2 linked regions of the Anolis sagrei genome follow. The protein of the gene in region 1 binds, or shares a complex with, the protein of each later gene. Links are inferred from orthologs where the notes say so. Each region holds a gene or a part of one and is shown in the gene's direction. Other genes may lie near its edges.

Region 1 (7,460 bases):
TAAGACATCAGTGCAGAGTAGGACTCCCATGATTCCATAGCATTGAGTCATGGCAATTAACGTGGTGTCAAACTGCATTAATTTTACAGTGTTGATGCACCCTGAATGAAAGCAGATACGGAGGTTTATCTTGTACCCTTGGTACAAAAAAAGAAGTGCTGTCCCACATTGCTGATGGGAAAAAGTAGTGTTTGGTTTCAAGCATCTGGGAATCCTGCTGAACATTTAATAAACTCTACAGTAATAAGTGGTTCTCTCATCCAACCCATCAAAACAAGCCTTGATGTTGACTAGTGTTGCCTGTAGTCAGCATTACAGTTTCTTTTGATGGGTTCCATCAGATCAACAGGCGTTGTGAGAAGCACATTCCATGAGCTGAAAGAAAATTACAAGGGTGTTCCCATCTCAATGTATCTTCCCACAAGTAAATATTTTGACCTCTTGCCAAGAGTTTCAAGTCAACAGCTGTAATTATCCTAAACTGTCCTCTGGCCCTAGCAGGTTAATAAATATTCCTCCAACTAATGATTTTTTTTGCCCCCCAGGCCACACCTTTTGTTGGAGGTATAAGAGGGGAGAAAGGAAGCAATATACATGTGCCATGAACAAAACACATGTTCTTCAATGCATATGGATACGTTTTAAATTTCTGCTTTCTGTTGAGATCTAGGATAAGAGAAAAACAATGATGGCCCTTCAGCTCTTTCAGACTTCCAGAAGATCCAGCCAGAATGGCTAAAGGTACGAATTGTGGGAGCTTCAGTTTCAAACATTTCAAGGGGAAAATGTTTTCTAATTTTTTTAATAGTGGCAGTGAAAATGTCTCCAAGGCTACAGCAAACTACAGTAGCATTGTTTGTTTAACACCAATATCAATAAAATTAAAGTCTCAGGAAATGGTACCCATCTTTGGGCAGCTCCATGGTATTCAAGAGAAAAATTGATAGGATCTTCCAGATTCAAGGAGTACACAATCATTGTTTGAAAGGCCACTTCTTTTAGTACAGCTCTGGTCTAACATAGAGAAGGTACACAATGGCAAATTATCAAAAATACATTATCAACGGGTTTGTTCTGTTCAAGTTATTTCCAACTTATGGTGCCCCTACCATGGCGATAGGGAAAGGCAGAGCTCCTCAACACCTTTTTTGCCTCAGTCTTCTTCCAAAAGCAGATTTGTGTTCAACTTGAGCAATACGAAGAGGCTGAGGCAATAGGGGAAATGCAACCCAAAATAAGTAAAGAAGTAGTCCAGGAATACCTGGCTTCTCTAAATGAATTCAAGTCATCAGGGCCATATGAACTACATCCAAGAGCATTGAAGGAACTAGCTGAAGCCTTTTCAGAACCACTGGCAATAATCTTTGGGAATTCTTGGAGAACTGGAAAAGTCCCAGAAGTCTGGAGGAGGGCAAATGTTGTCCCTATCTTCAAGAAGGAGAAAAAGGGGACCCAAACAATTACTATCCAGTCAGCTTGACATCAATACCAGAAAAGATTCTGGAGCAGATCATTAAGGAGGCAATCTGCAATCACTTAAAAAGAAATGCTGTGATTACTGAAAGTCAGCATGGATTTCTGAAAGACAAGTCATGCCAGACTAATCTTATCTCTTTTTTTGATAGAGTTACAAGCTTAGAAGATGCAGGGAATGATGTGGATGTAGCATATCTTGATTTCAGCAAGGCCTTCAATAAGGTCTGACCTTCTTGCAAACAAACTAGTCAAATGTGTGATAGGCAAAGCTACTATTAGGTGGATCTATAATTGGTTAAGTGACCAAACCCAAAGGGTGCTCACCAATGGTTCCTCTTCACCCTGGAAAGAAGTGACTTCTGGAGTGCTGTAGGGTTAGGTCCTGAGCCCAGTACTGTTCAACATCTTTATTAATTACTTGGGTGAAGGTTTAGAGGGCATGCTCATCAAATTTGCAGATTGCAGCAAATTAGGAGGGATAGCTAACACTCCAGACAACAGGATAAGAATTCAAAATGACCTTAACAGATTAGAGAACTGGCCCAAAAGCAACAAAATGAATTTTAACACGGACAAATGTAAGATGTTACACTTAGGCAGAACAAATGAAATGCAAAGATACAGAATGGGTGATGCCTGGCTCGACAACAGTTCATGTGAAAAAGATCTAACAATCTTTGTGGACAACAAGTTGAACATGAGCCAACAGTGTGATGCAGCAGCTAAAAAAGCCAATGGGATTTTGGGCTGCATCAAAAGGAGTATAGTATCTAGATCCAGGGGAATCATAGTGCCTCTCTATTCTGCTCTGGTTAGAGCTCTCCTGGGATACTGTGTCCAATTCTGGGCACCACAGTTCAAAAGAGATATTGACAAGCTAGTAGGTGTCCAGAGGAGGGCGACTAAAGTGATCAAAGGTCTGGAGACCATGCCCGATGAGGAGCGTCTTCAATTACTGGGTATGTTTAGCCTGCAGAAGAGAAGGCTGAGAGGAGACATTATAGCCATATATAAATATGTGAGGGGAAGTCATACGGAGGAGGGAGCAGGCTTGTTTTCTGCTGCCCTGGAGACTAAGACTCGGAGCAATGGGTTCAAATTACAGGAGAGGAGATCCCACCTGAACACAAGGAAGAACTTCCTGACTGTAAGAGCTGTTCAGCAGTGGAACTCCTTTCTTGGAAGCTTTTAAACAGTGGTTGGATGGCCATCTGTCAGGGGTGCTTTGATTGTGCTTTTCCTGCATGGCAGGAGGTTGGACTAGATACCCCATGTGGTCTCTTCCGCCGCTATAATTCTATGATGGTGACTAGAGAAAAATGTGCTGCAGAATGTTCTGCAAAGACAAAGTTTTTTTCAGTTTAATACACTTCTTCTGTTTTTATGATATAACCAATTAGGAAATGACATTTATGACCCAGGAACAAAAATCGTGTTCCATAGTGTCATCAAACCCACAAAAAGTCAGAAATAAACGGGGGGGGGGGGGGTTGGTGAAGCCCCCCAACCCCCCCCCCCCCCCCGGCCACATGCCTGTATTGTGGCTTATCTGCCTTGATATTCTGGGTGATATGGTTGTGCAGGAGGGCCCACCGTTCATTCTCATGATGGTCTGCGAAAAGGCCTTACTGGTACATTATTTAAACTGTTATGTTTATTTATATCATGATCTGATCACCCTGCTCAATATATCTCATATGCATGGGGGTATTGGGGTAACAATACAAAAGGTTTGCTAAGGTACGGGCCTGCCACAAAATATACTTTGAACTGGATTATCCGTATCCACACCGCAACACAATCCAGTTCAATGTGAATTTTATACAGCTGTGTGGAAGGGGCCTTAGGGATGATTAGAAATAGGAGCTGGGGCTTTATATGAAATGTATGTTTTCAGTGTCTCCTGAAGCATTCTCCCTTCAAGAGAGATATTGACAAGGTGGAATGTGTCCAGAGGAGGGTGACTAAAATCATCAAGGGTCTGGAGAACAAGGAGCGGCTTAAGGAGCTGGGCATGTTTAGCCTGAAGAAGAGAAGGCTGAGAGGAGATATGATAGCCATTTATAAATATGTGAGAAGAAGCCACAGGGAGGAGGGAGCAAACTTGTTTTCTGCTTCCCTGGAGACTAGGACACGGAACAATGGCTTCAAACTACAAGAAAGGAGATTCCATCTGAACATGAGGAAGAACTTCCTGACTGTGAGAGCCATTCAGCAATGGAACTCTCTGCCCCGGAGTGTGGTGGGGGCTTCTTCTTTGGAGGCTTTTAAACAGAGGCTGGATGGCCATCTGTCAGGGGAGATTTGAATGCAATATTCCAGCTTCTTGGCAGGGGGTTGGACTGGATGGCCCATGAGGTCTCTTCCAACTCTTTGACTCTAAGAGGGCACTGCCACTCAGATAACTCACAATATCTGCTTTGAACAGGGTTATCTGAGTCCACACTGCCATATAATCCAGTTCAACGTGGATTTTGTACAGCTGTATGGAAGAGGCCATAGGCAATGGTATCCCAAGGTACAGGACTGGGTGACTTTGGTCAAGCCAGACCTGCTCAACATCAGAAGGCCATGACAAACCTGTCTTAGCAATCTCTGTGGAGAAAACGTTGGGGGGTTGTTAAATGCCTTCCAAACTTTTCTGTCACGGGGCTTTCTGAGTCTGCCTCACCCAGTGGGTTTCCATAGGAGAATGGGGCCTCCAGAGCCGTACTCCACGGCTCGAACCACTATAACTGGGCCGCCAGACGACAGGACCATCTGGTCCAAAACCTTCCACAAAATACCTCAGCGCCCTCGCGCTTCTCCGTCCAATCCGGATCCGAGTAACGCCGCACGTGACTCCCCCTCCAACCCTGAGGGAATTCAAGAACGAGGAGAAAGGCCTCCTTGCGTTCCTATTGGCCAATGCGAAAGATGCGCGCGAGCGGGGGCGTGGTTCAGCAGGAACGGCCCTCCTTAGCGTACAAAACGTCTCGTAGACTAGGGAGGGAAAAAAAAGAAGCCAAACCTGCAGGACGCATGCGCAGTTCGGGAGGAAGGCGGTTGGCTCGGACCAACCCTTTTGGTGGCGCGAGGTACAATGAGGGGAGGGGGGGGAAAGAGTTCGATGGTGTAATGCGATTGGTTGAGACGGCTTCGGGGTGCACGAGCCTTCCTTTTTTTTAACCCTTGGGGGAGGGGGTTGTGGCTTAGCGTGAGTTATGATTGGCAGCCCCGCGAGGCGGAAGAAGGGCTGTGAGGCGGCTGTCCAGGGTGGCTGAGGAGAGCGACACGGGCCGAGGCGGCGGCGGCGGAGGAGCAAGGTCTGTTAATGGGCGCCGTGAGGGAAACAAACGTCGGGACCCGAAGACTCCACCGCGAGGGTGCGAGGGACAGGAGGAGGGAGGGCACCTGGTATTTCGGTGCTGGTTAGAAGAAGAAGAAGAGGTCTTTGAAAAAGGGGAGCCATTTTGAGGAAAGCCAGACGGGGTTCACAGGCTGGAAAAGGGAGCATTGAATGGCGAGGGCGGGAGTGTGGCTGGGCTATTCATACCTATGTTCTGCAAAAGGTGGCTGGGGTTATTATCTACAGATAAAGCATCCCAAGCCTGAACCACTTGGGGACAAAAGTATTTTGGCTTTCGGATTCTGTAATATCTGCAGCCACATAATGATGTTCCTTGGAGTCCTGTACCTTGGGATATTGTGCCACCTGTATGAAGATGACACCGAGCTGGACTACTCCTTCCCACCTAAAGCCAAGGAAGCTGTCCTGACCCTACTTATTTATTTATATTGTGCCACCTGTATGCAGATGACACCGAGCTGTACTACTCCTTCCCACCTAAAGCCAAGGAAGCTGTCCTGACCCTACTTATTTATTTATATTGTGCCACCTGTATGCAGATGACACTGAGCTGTACTACTCCTTCCCACCTAAAGCCAAGGAAGCTGTCCTGACCCTACTTATTTATTTATATTGTGCCACCTGTATGCAGATGACACCGAGCTGTACTACTCCTTCCCACCTAAAACCAAGGAAGCTGTCCCGACCCTATTTATTTATTTATTTATTTATTTATATTGTGCCACCTGTATGCAGATGACACCGAGCTGTACTACTCCTTCCCATCTAAAGCCAAGGAAGCTGTCCTGACCCTACTTATTTATTTATATTGTGCCACCTGTATGCAGATGACACCGAGCTGTACTACTCCTTCCCACCTAAAACCAAGGAAGCTGTCCCGACCCTATTTATTTATTTATTTATTTATATTGTGCCACCTGTATGCAGATGACACCGAGCTGTACTACTCCTTCCCACCTAAAGCCAAGGAAGCTGTCCTGACTCTACTTATTTATTTATATTGTGCCACCTGTATGCAGATGACACCGAGCTGTACTACTCCTTCCCACCTAAAGCCAAGGAAGCTGTCCTGACTCTATTTATTTATTTATATTGTGCCACCTGTATGCACATGACACCGAGCTGTACTACTCCTTCCCACCTAAAGCCAAGGAAGCTGTCCTGACCCTACTTATTTATTTATATTGTGCCACCTGTATGCAGATGACACCGAGCTGTACTACTCCTTCCCACCTAAAGCCAAGGAAGCTGTCATTACTCTATTTATTTATTTATATTGTGCCACCTGTATGCAGGAGCCCCCGGTGGCGCAGTGGGTTAAACCCCTGTGCCTGCAGGATTGAAGACCGACAGGTCGCAGGTTCAAATCCGGGGAGAGGCGGATGAGCTCCCTTTATCAGCTCCAGCTCCTCATGCAGGGACATGAGAGAAGCCTCCCACAAGGATGGTAAAAACATCAAATCATCCAGGCGTCCCCTGGGCAACGTCCTTGCAGACGGCCAATTCTCTCACACCAGAGTCACTCCTGACACGACAAAAAAAACCAAAACAACCTGTATGCAGATGACACCGAGCTGTACTACTCCTTCCCAGTTCTGAGGAGCCCAGCTGAAGAAGGATATTGACAAACTGGAATACATTCAGAAGATGACCAGCAAAATGATGATGATAATAATTGAAACTTAATCCAGACAAGACAGAGGTATTTCTGGTCAGTCGGAAGGCAGACCAGGGAATAGTGATCCAGCCTGTGCTGGATGGGGCCACACTCCCCCTGAAGTCACAGGCCTGCAGTTTGGGGATCCTCCTGAACTCAGTACTGAACCTGGAGGCCCAGGTGGCTGGGAGGGTCTTTGTACAATTAAATGTGTGCGCCAACTACGCCAGTTCCTTGAGAAGCCAGATCTGGCAACAGTGATATATGCCTTAGTTACATCCCCTCTGGATTACTGTATCACGCTCTATGTGGGGCTGCCTCTAAAGAGTGCTCAAAAACTTCAGCTGGTCCACAGAGCTGCAGCCAGGTTTCTCGCTGGGGCTGGCTACAGGGAGTTAACAAACCCTGTTGCAGCAGCTCCACTGGCTGACAGTCTCTTTCTGGTCACAATTTAAAGCGCTGGTTATGATCTTTAAAGCCCTAGATGGTTCAGTTCCAGGCTATTTGGCCAAATACATCCCCTTGTATGAACATGTTTGGGCCCTGAGATCTTGAGGAGAAGCCCTTCTCTTGGTCCCACATCCATGTCAAGCTCGTGGCCTTTTCGGTGGCTGCCCCATGATTCTGGAACTCCCTGCCAAGGGAAATCAGAATGGCCGCCTCCCTGCCATCCTTCCAGTGGCAGGTTAAAACCTTTTTATTCAGGCAGGCTTTTAAAGAAGGTTTTTAAGATCATCAGGGTATGCTGTAATTTTGTATGCTTTTAATGATTTTTAATACCAGTTTAATACTTGTATATTTGTATATTTCAAGTTGTATTGCAATGATTTTAGTTTTAAGCCACTTTGAGTCTCTATATGGAGAGAAAAGTGGTATATCATAATAATTATAGAATAATATTGTTATCTATGAGGGAGGACCCTTCAGGTGACACTGAAAACATACATTTCATCTTCCCAGCTCCTATTTCCAATCATC
Region 2 (7,453 bases), on another chromosome or scaffold:
ATTGTAATGCATTTTCTGTCTTTTGGCTTTTTAAGTGTTTTCTGCTGTGTTTTCCAGTGTTTTATGAGTGATGGTCAGTTGTTGGCCTGTTAGGTGTATTGTGTCCAAATTTGGTGTCAATTCATCCAGTGGTTTTTGAGTTATGTTAATCCCACAGACGAACATTGCATTTTTATTTATATAGATGCTAAAGAGATTCTGTAATATGAATTAATTTTATTGTTACGGTCACAGACCAAGAGTATTGTCTAAGGGGGAACTTTCAAATTTAAAAAGTGGTTGAGATTTTACTCCCCAACCTTATGAACTGGTTTCAAAAAGCTGAACTCCTCGTTATCGGCATTTCAGCTAATGTAAGGTACCTTTGAAATAGGGCGGCAATGTGTTTCTCTGCTAGGGAAAGTCTCTTGAGTGTGTGCCAAGAGAGCAGAGAATGCGATTGACTTCTGCTTTAAGCAATGGACCTGTTGTAGCCTCAGAGCACACCGGGCCTCGCTATCTCATTCTGGAGGGCAGTCCTAGCAAGAGGCAAAGCAGGCCTCTCTTTCTCTGTGGCCTCCTTTCCTTGCAGGGTTTGCCAGATTGGGCGGCGTTCAAGGTCCCTGGGGCCCTTGCAGGAATGTGCCTCTTTCAAACAGCTGTTTCTAATGAGCGCCTGCAAAGGGATGTCTTGCAGTTCAGCAGGCAGCAAAAGAAAAGAAAAAAAAAACCCAAGCGGGATTTAAAATGAATTGCTTCTTATCTTCCAGGGGTAGTCTTTATATTCCATCAGTTTATTTATTTATTGTTTAAGCGATTAGCAGGAAATATAGTAACTCACTTGCCTTATGTTTATGTTAACCAAGTTCCAACTCCTTAAGTCTTAATTGCAGGGCCAACTTGTGTCAGGGTCTACTGCGGGTATTACTATACCGACCTGTTAATTGCAGAAGTTTATTTATTTATCGTGTCAGTATCAACCAGACAATTGTATTAAAATTTTAACAACAGACAAAACAAGAGTTTGCAAGCTTAGTAGTTGATTAAATGTCCTTTGACCAGTATCTGGCCCCTTGGAGTGCCTCTGGTGTTGCTGCAAGAAGGTCCTCCATTGTGCATGTGGCGGGGCTCAGGTTGCATTGCAGCAGGTGGTCAGTGGTTTGCTCTTCTCCACACTCGCATGTCGTGGGTTCCACTTTGTGGCCCCATTTCTTGAGGTTGGCTCTGCATCTCGTGGTGCCAGAGCGCAGTCTGTTCAGCGCCTTCCAAGTTGCCCAGTTTTCCGTGTGCCCATGGGGGAGTCTCATTTGGTATCAGCCATTGGTTGAGGTTCTGGGTTTGAGCCTGCCACTTTTGGACTCTTGCTTGCAGAGGTGTTCCAGCGAGTGTCTCTGTAGATCTTAGAAAACTCTTTCTTGATTTAAGTCGTTGACGTGCTGGCTGATACCCAAACAGGGGATGAGCTGGAGATGTCTCTGCCTTGGATTGCAGTAGTTGAGGTGACCTCTGTGTTGCAGTGAGGCCTTATCAGGCATGGGCAAACTTCTGCCCTCCGTGTGTTTTGGACTTCAACCTCCACAATTTCTAACACCCTACCGGCTGTTAGGAATTGCTGGGGTTGAAGTCCAAAACACACTGAGGGCAGAAGTTTGCCCATACCTACCTTAGATGGTGCCTTAGCTTGGACCTCTCTGTTATTTGCGAAAGTGACAGACAACAGTCATATTTTGGGAGGGCTTGGATTGTGTGCATTCCTACCTAGAGGAAGAGGGTTGGACCGAATGGCCTTGTGGGGAGTCTTCTTTCTTTTAGCTGCTTCTGGTTTATAACTAAACCTGGTTCTGGGTTGTTGTGAGTTTTCTGGGCTGTCTGGCCATGCTTCAGAAGCATTATCTCCTGACATTTCACCTGCATCTATGGCAGGAATCCTCTGAGGTTGAGAGAGGTCTGTTGAAAACTAGGAAAATGGGGTTGATATATCTGTGGAATGTCCAGGGTCGGAGAAAGAACTCATATTTTATGACCATCTAGGAATTTAAGATCTTCTGGGAAGGTCCTGCTCTTGGTCCTGCCTTCTTCACAGCTTCGATTGGTGGGGACGAGAGATAGGGGCTTCTCTGTGGTGGCCCCTCGGCTGTGGAAACCTCTCCTTAGGAACATTAGGGAGCTCTTAATATTATTAATATTTTGTTAAAAAGTCAAAACTTGGCTTTGTGAGCAGGCTTTCTCAAATGCAGTGTAGCAGATAACTTCTTGACCTCGAAACGACTGGACAATTGTGATCGTATAACGATTGGGTATTGAGATGTGGAGGATTTATGCATTTATTGATTTTACTGTTTATGTATGTTTTTTGGTCGTGTCAGGAGCAACCGCTCCTGTTGTGAGAGAATTGGCCGTCTGTAAGGACGTTGCCCAGGGGACGCCTGGATGATTTTTGATGCTTTATCATCCTTGTGGGAGGCTTCTCTCATGTCCCCACATGAGGAGCTGGAGCTAATAGAGGGAGCTCATCCGCCTCTCCCCGGATTCGAACCTGCGACCTGTCGGTCTTCAGTCCTGCCGGCACAGTGCTTTAGCCCTCTGCGCCACCGGGGGCTCCTGTATGTATGTTATATGCATTTTTATGGATGTTATATGCTTTAAGGACTTTTATGTGTGTTATATGCTTTAAGCTGTTTTTATATTATTGTGGCACCAAATTGTGCCATTTTGTAAACCGCCCTGAGTTGGCCTTGGGCTGAGAAGGGTGGTATAGAAATATAGTAAATAAATAAATAACATCTGTTGGAGCTAGGTGTGAATGTTTTAATTGGTCACCTTGATTACCATGAGGAGCGGCTTAAGGAGCTGGGCATGTTTAGCCTGAAGAAGAGAAGGCTGAGAGGAAACATGATAGCCATGTATAAATATGTGAGAGGAAGTCATAGGGAGGAGGGAGCAAGCTTGTTTTCTGCTGCCCTGGAGACTAAGGTGCAATGGAGCCATGGCTTCAAACTACAAAAAAGGAGATTCCACCTGAACATTAGGAAGAAGTTCTTGACTATGAGAGCCGTTCAGCAGTGGAACCCTCTGTATTGTCGAAGGCTTTCGTGGCCGGAATCACTGGGTTGTTGTAGGTTTTTTCGGGCTATATGGCCATGGTCTAAAGGCATTCTCTCCTGACATTTTGACCTCCCTACCTCTGAGGATGCTTGCCATAGATGCAGGCGAAATGTCAGGAGAGAATGCCTCTAGACCATGGCCATATAGCCCGAAAAAACCTACAACAACCCAGTGGAACTCTCTACCAGGGAGTGTAGTCGAGTGTGGTGGAGGCTCCTTCTTTGGAGGGTTTTAAACAGAGGCTGGATGGTCATCTGTCGAGGGTGCTTTGAATGTGATTGTCCTGCTTTTTGGCAGAATGGGGTTGGATTGGATGCCCCATGGGATCTCTTCCAACTCTAGGATTCTATGAACACAAGGAAGAACTTCCTGACTGTGAGAGCTGTTCAGCAGTGGAACTCTCTGCCCTGAGTGTGGTGGAGGCTCCTTCTTTTGAGGCTGGATGGTCATCTGTCAGGGGTGCTTTGAATGCGATTGTCCTGCTTTTTGGCAGAATGGGGTTGGACTGGATGGCCCATGAGATCTCTTCCAACTCTTTGATTCTATGATTCTAAGAACTTCCTGACTGTGAGAGCTGTTCAGCAGTGGAACTCTCTGCCCCGGAGTGTGGTGGAGGCTCCTTCTTTGGAGGCTTTTAAACAGAGGCTATATGTCAGGGATGCTTTGAATGCGATTGTCCTGCTTCTTGGCAGAATGGGGTTGGACTGGATGGCCTGTAAGGTCCCTTTCTTTCCTCTGCTTCTGGTTCATAAATAAACCTGGAGGAGGTTTCCTCCTGCAAGCTTCTTTAGGCCCAACTCGGGCTCTGGCCTGGCCTGCGCCTATTGGCTGTGACGTCAGCTGGCACCTCGCCTGTCTTGGGGGGGAGGGAGGCGGGGTTAGGGAAGGAGGGCGGGGCTGGAGGGAGAAGGGGGCGGGGCTTGTGCGGGCCTTGAGCAACAACTTTTCTTTCCTGGGGCGCCTGCGCGCGCCTTGGCCACCCTCCAGCCCTTCCTCCCTCCTTCCTCCTCTTCCAGGTTTCAAACGCTAATGACGGATTAAACATTTGGCGCCCAGAGAAAGAAAAACTGTTTGGCTTTGCTACTCCGGTAAGGCCTGGACAAAGGCAAAGGGGGGGGGGGTGCTTGCTTGTTGTTTCAGGAGGGAGGGAGGGAAGTAAATAAAGAGGGGGCTCCTGCCTGTGTCCGTCCCTAATTGCTTCCCCCTCCCTCCCTCTCTCTCTCCTTGGGAAGAGGAGGAGGCTCAGGCGAGCGCAGTTGGGCCTTCCACATCCGGGCACTTGCCTGCCTGCCTGGACGGGCCTTCCTCCTCTTAATCTAAGCCAGGAGGAGGGAGGGAGGGAGGAAGGCCTCAACATACAGCCAGGCAGTTTAGCAGTCTTTGAGGATGAAGCCTCGGAGGTTTGTTTGCCTTTCCCGCGCCTTCTCCTTCTGGACTCCTTATGAAGGCTTCCTGGTCCTTCCTCTGAAGGAGAGGCCTCCCTTTGTTCCTTCTGCAAGGCAAAATTCGGCCCTCCCCTCCAGGTGTTTTGGACTTCCAACTCCCACCATTCCCAACTGGGGGGCACCCAGTTGGGATTTCCTGGTTTAGCTGCCCAGAGGGATACCCTTGCTGTTGCTGGAGGGACACCAAGAGGAGTGGTAGTTCCCATAAAGCTTTTCCTTGATTTGAGTCTACTGGGAGGAGGCTGGTAGCCATGTAGTGGGTGGCTTTCACAGTGTTCAACCTTATTTCTCTTAAATTTAGCAGCAACTTCCCATCAAGTTTGCAGACGACACCAAATTGGGAGGGATAGCCAATAGTCCAGAGGACAGGAGCAGAATTCAAAACGATCTTGACAGATTAGAGAGATGGGCCAAAACTAACAAAATGAAGTTCAACAGTGACAAATGCAAGATACTCCACTTTGGCAGAAAAAATGAAATGCAAAGATACAGAATGGGGGACAATGCCTGGCTCGAGAGCAGTACGTGTGAAAAAGATCTTGGAGTCCTCGTGGACAACAAGTTAAACATGAGCCAACAATGTGATGTGGCGGCAAAAAAAGCCAATGGGATTTTGGCCTGCATCAATAGGAGCATAGTGTCTAGATCTAAGGAAGTAATGCTACCCCTCTATTCTGCTTTGGTTAGACCACATCTGGAATATTGTGTCCAATTCTGGGCACCACAATTCAAGAGAGATATTGACAAGCTGGAATGTGTCCAGAGGAGGGCAACTAAAATGATCAAGGGTCTGGAGAACAAGCCCTATGAGGAGCGGCTTAGGGAACTGGGCATGTTTAGCCTGAAGAAGAGAAGGCTGAGAGGAGACATGATAGCCATGTATAAATATGTGAGAGGAAGCCACAGGGAGGAGGGAGCAAGCTTGTTTTCTGCTTCCTTGGAGACTAGGACGCGGAACAATGGCTTCAAACTACAAGAGAGGAGATTCCATCTGAACATTAGGAAGAACTTCCTGACTGTGAGAGCCGTTCAGCAGTGGAACTCTCTGTCCCGGAGTGTGGTGGAGGCTCCTTCTTTGGAAGCTTTTAAGCAGAGGCTGGATGGCCATCTGTCAGGGGTGATTTGAATGCAATATTCCTGCTTCTTGGCAGGGGGTTGGACTGGATGGCCCATGAGGTCTCTTCCAACTCTTTGATTCTATGATCTAGCTTGTAGGGTTTATCAACAGGTGTAGGTTTAAGACATCCTGGGATAATTCTGCATCTTTCGTTCAATGCTATGTTCACCTGCTTTGCATGGGCAGACCTATGCCAAACAGGGCAGGTATACTCGGCAGTTGAGTCAGACAAGGCCACGGCTGATGTCCGTACTAATTTTGGGTCTGCACCCCATGTGCTGCCAGTAAGTTTCCGCATGATGTTTTTGCGTCTAATTGATAGTTACAGTAGAGCAGGCATGGGCAACATTTTCGCTTATCCAACATTCTGCTGGCCCATTTATGTTAGATAAGCGAGACTCTACTGCTTTGCTACAGCCCTGTTGCTGTGTGAATTGTCCTTCATAAACAGCAAAGAAACAAGTGTGAGGGCGACAAAGTGCACACTGAATCCCTTCTCCTGACAGCTAGTAATGAACCTTTGGTCCTCCTGATGATTTGCTCTCAGCTTCCAGAAGCTCCAGGCAGCATTGTGTGAATTGTAGCCCTCTAGAATGATTGACGGCTTTGACAGGAAAGCATTGTGGTTGTCACTACAGAGCGGGTGATAGTTGGTTTTCAGAAGGAGTGAATGCCTAAAAGATGCCCCTGCCACCTTCCCTGCTCTAACATATTGCACTAGGACAGCAAGACTGTCATGACAGCTAATATATTTACTGTGGTGCCTGCTTTTGTGCATCTAATTCTTCAGATGCATGAAGTGAGCCATGCTAAGGGATTCCTTGTTCCCACATGGGTATTTTTATTTTATTATTATTATTATTTAATTTTTAATTATCACATTTGGCCCAGCCATAAGTTTTTAAATGCTTGTTGTTTATTGTTACTGTTTATTGTTTATTTTGTTATGAGATTATTTTGATTGTTTTGTATTGATGTTTTGTGATTGCTTTAATTATTGTTGTTCTATGGCCTCGGCCTCATGTAAGCCAGGGAGATGGTAGCGGGATATAAATAAAGTATTATTATTATTATTTCTTTCATCTTTTGTGAATGTTGTTCCTAAAAGTAGGAAAGGAAGAAAGTGTTTTCTCCTTTCTTTATGACACGTTTTTATTTAATGTGTGCACCGTGCATCTTGTAAGAAAGTTGGAGAAAGAAATTTTTGGAGAAAGTTGGAATAGAGATAAGTGTTGCTTGCCACTCTATTTTACACCCACCTGCACCCCAATTCTTTTTCCCCATATACTTAATTGTTGTGGGCGAGCAAGCCAATTCTTTCCTCTTCCTTGGGCCCCATTTTCTTTTATTTCAAGTGACCTGATATTTAAGCATTTAGCCATAGACTTAGTTTTATGGATCTGCATGACTCTTCTGTTCTTCAGCTAGGCAGAAATGAGAGTGGACTGTTTTGTCAAAATTCTGTAGGTCCTGAAAGGCCGTGTGGATTTTGATTGTTGCCTAGTAAAGATACTACTTATTTGTCAATTTTTAGATGGGGACCTGGATGACTGTCTTTCTTACATTGTTAGAATTAGTGAAATGAACAACCATATGTTTCTTAGAAGCCTCCAGTGCAACTGCATGTGCTCAAGCCAATCAGTAGCTGTTGAGTTTTAATGTATGTCAAAGGCTTTCATGACCGGAATCACTGGGTTGTTGTAGGTTTTTTCGGGCTATATGGCCAAGTTCTAGAGGCATTCTCTCCTGACGTTTCGCCTGCATCTATGGCAAGCATCCTCAGAGGTAGTGAGGTCTGTTGGAACTA

What was found. Proteins that work in one complex are often made in the same cells at the same time.
Region 2: the proteins of GPSM2 (region 1) and NUMA1 are in contact, whole or in part, in a crystal structure (PDB 6HC2), measured with the Homo sapiens proteins. The link is inferred for Anolis sagrei from reciprocal best matches to the Homo sapiens genes GPSM2 and NUMA1. Residues at the interface, in NP_001307967.1 of Homo sapiens: Ala28, Leu29, Glu32, Cys35, Lys36, Phe47, Lys59, Thr60, Ser62, Ala63, Ile64, Ser66, Gln67, Asn70, Ala71, Phe73, Asn110, Lys113, Tyr146, His153, Lys157, Pro164, Gln165, Arg203, Gly206, Asn207, Asn210, Tyr213, Leu214, Arg228; in NP_006176.2 of Homo sapiens: Ser1901, Phe1902, Tyr1903, Met1904, Gly1905, Thr1906, Cys1907, Gln1908, Asp1909, Glu1910, Pro1911, Glu1912, Leu1914, Asp1916, Trp1917, Asn1918, Arg1919, Ile1920, Ala1921, Leu1923.

The regions. Positions count from the first base shown.
Region 1 is NC_090024.1:112,850,069-112,857,528, reverse strand, and holds the start of GPSM2 (G-protein-signaling modulator 2), read left to right. Parts: upstream 1-4,456; 5' UTR 4,457-4,553; intron 4,554-4,572; exon of another isoform or gene 4,573-4,781; intron 4,782-4,821; exon of another isoform or gene 4,822-4,841; intron 4,842-7,460. UniProt on the Homo sapiens protein: Plays an important role in mitotic spindle pole organization via its interaction with NUMA1. Required for cortical dynein-dynactin complex recruitment during metaphase. Plays a role in metaphase spindle orientation.
Region 2 is NC_090023.1:4,833,832-4,841,284, forward strand, and holds the start of NUMA1 (nuclear mitotic apparatus protein 1), read left to right. Parts: upstream 1-4,440; 5' UTR 4,441-4,470; coding exon 4,471-4,484; intron 4,485-7,453. UniProt on the Homo sapiens protein: Microtubule (MT)-binding protein that plays a role in the formation and maintenance of the spindle poles and the alignement and the segregation of chromosomes during mitotic cell division.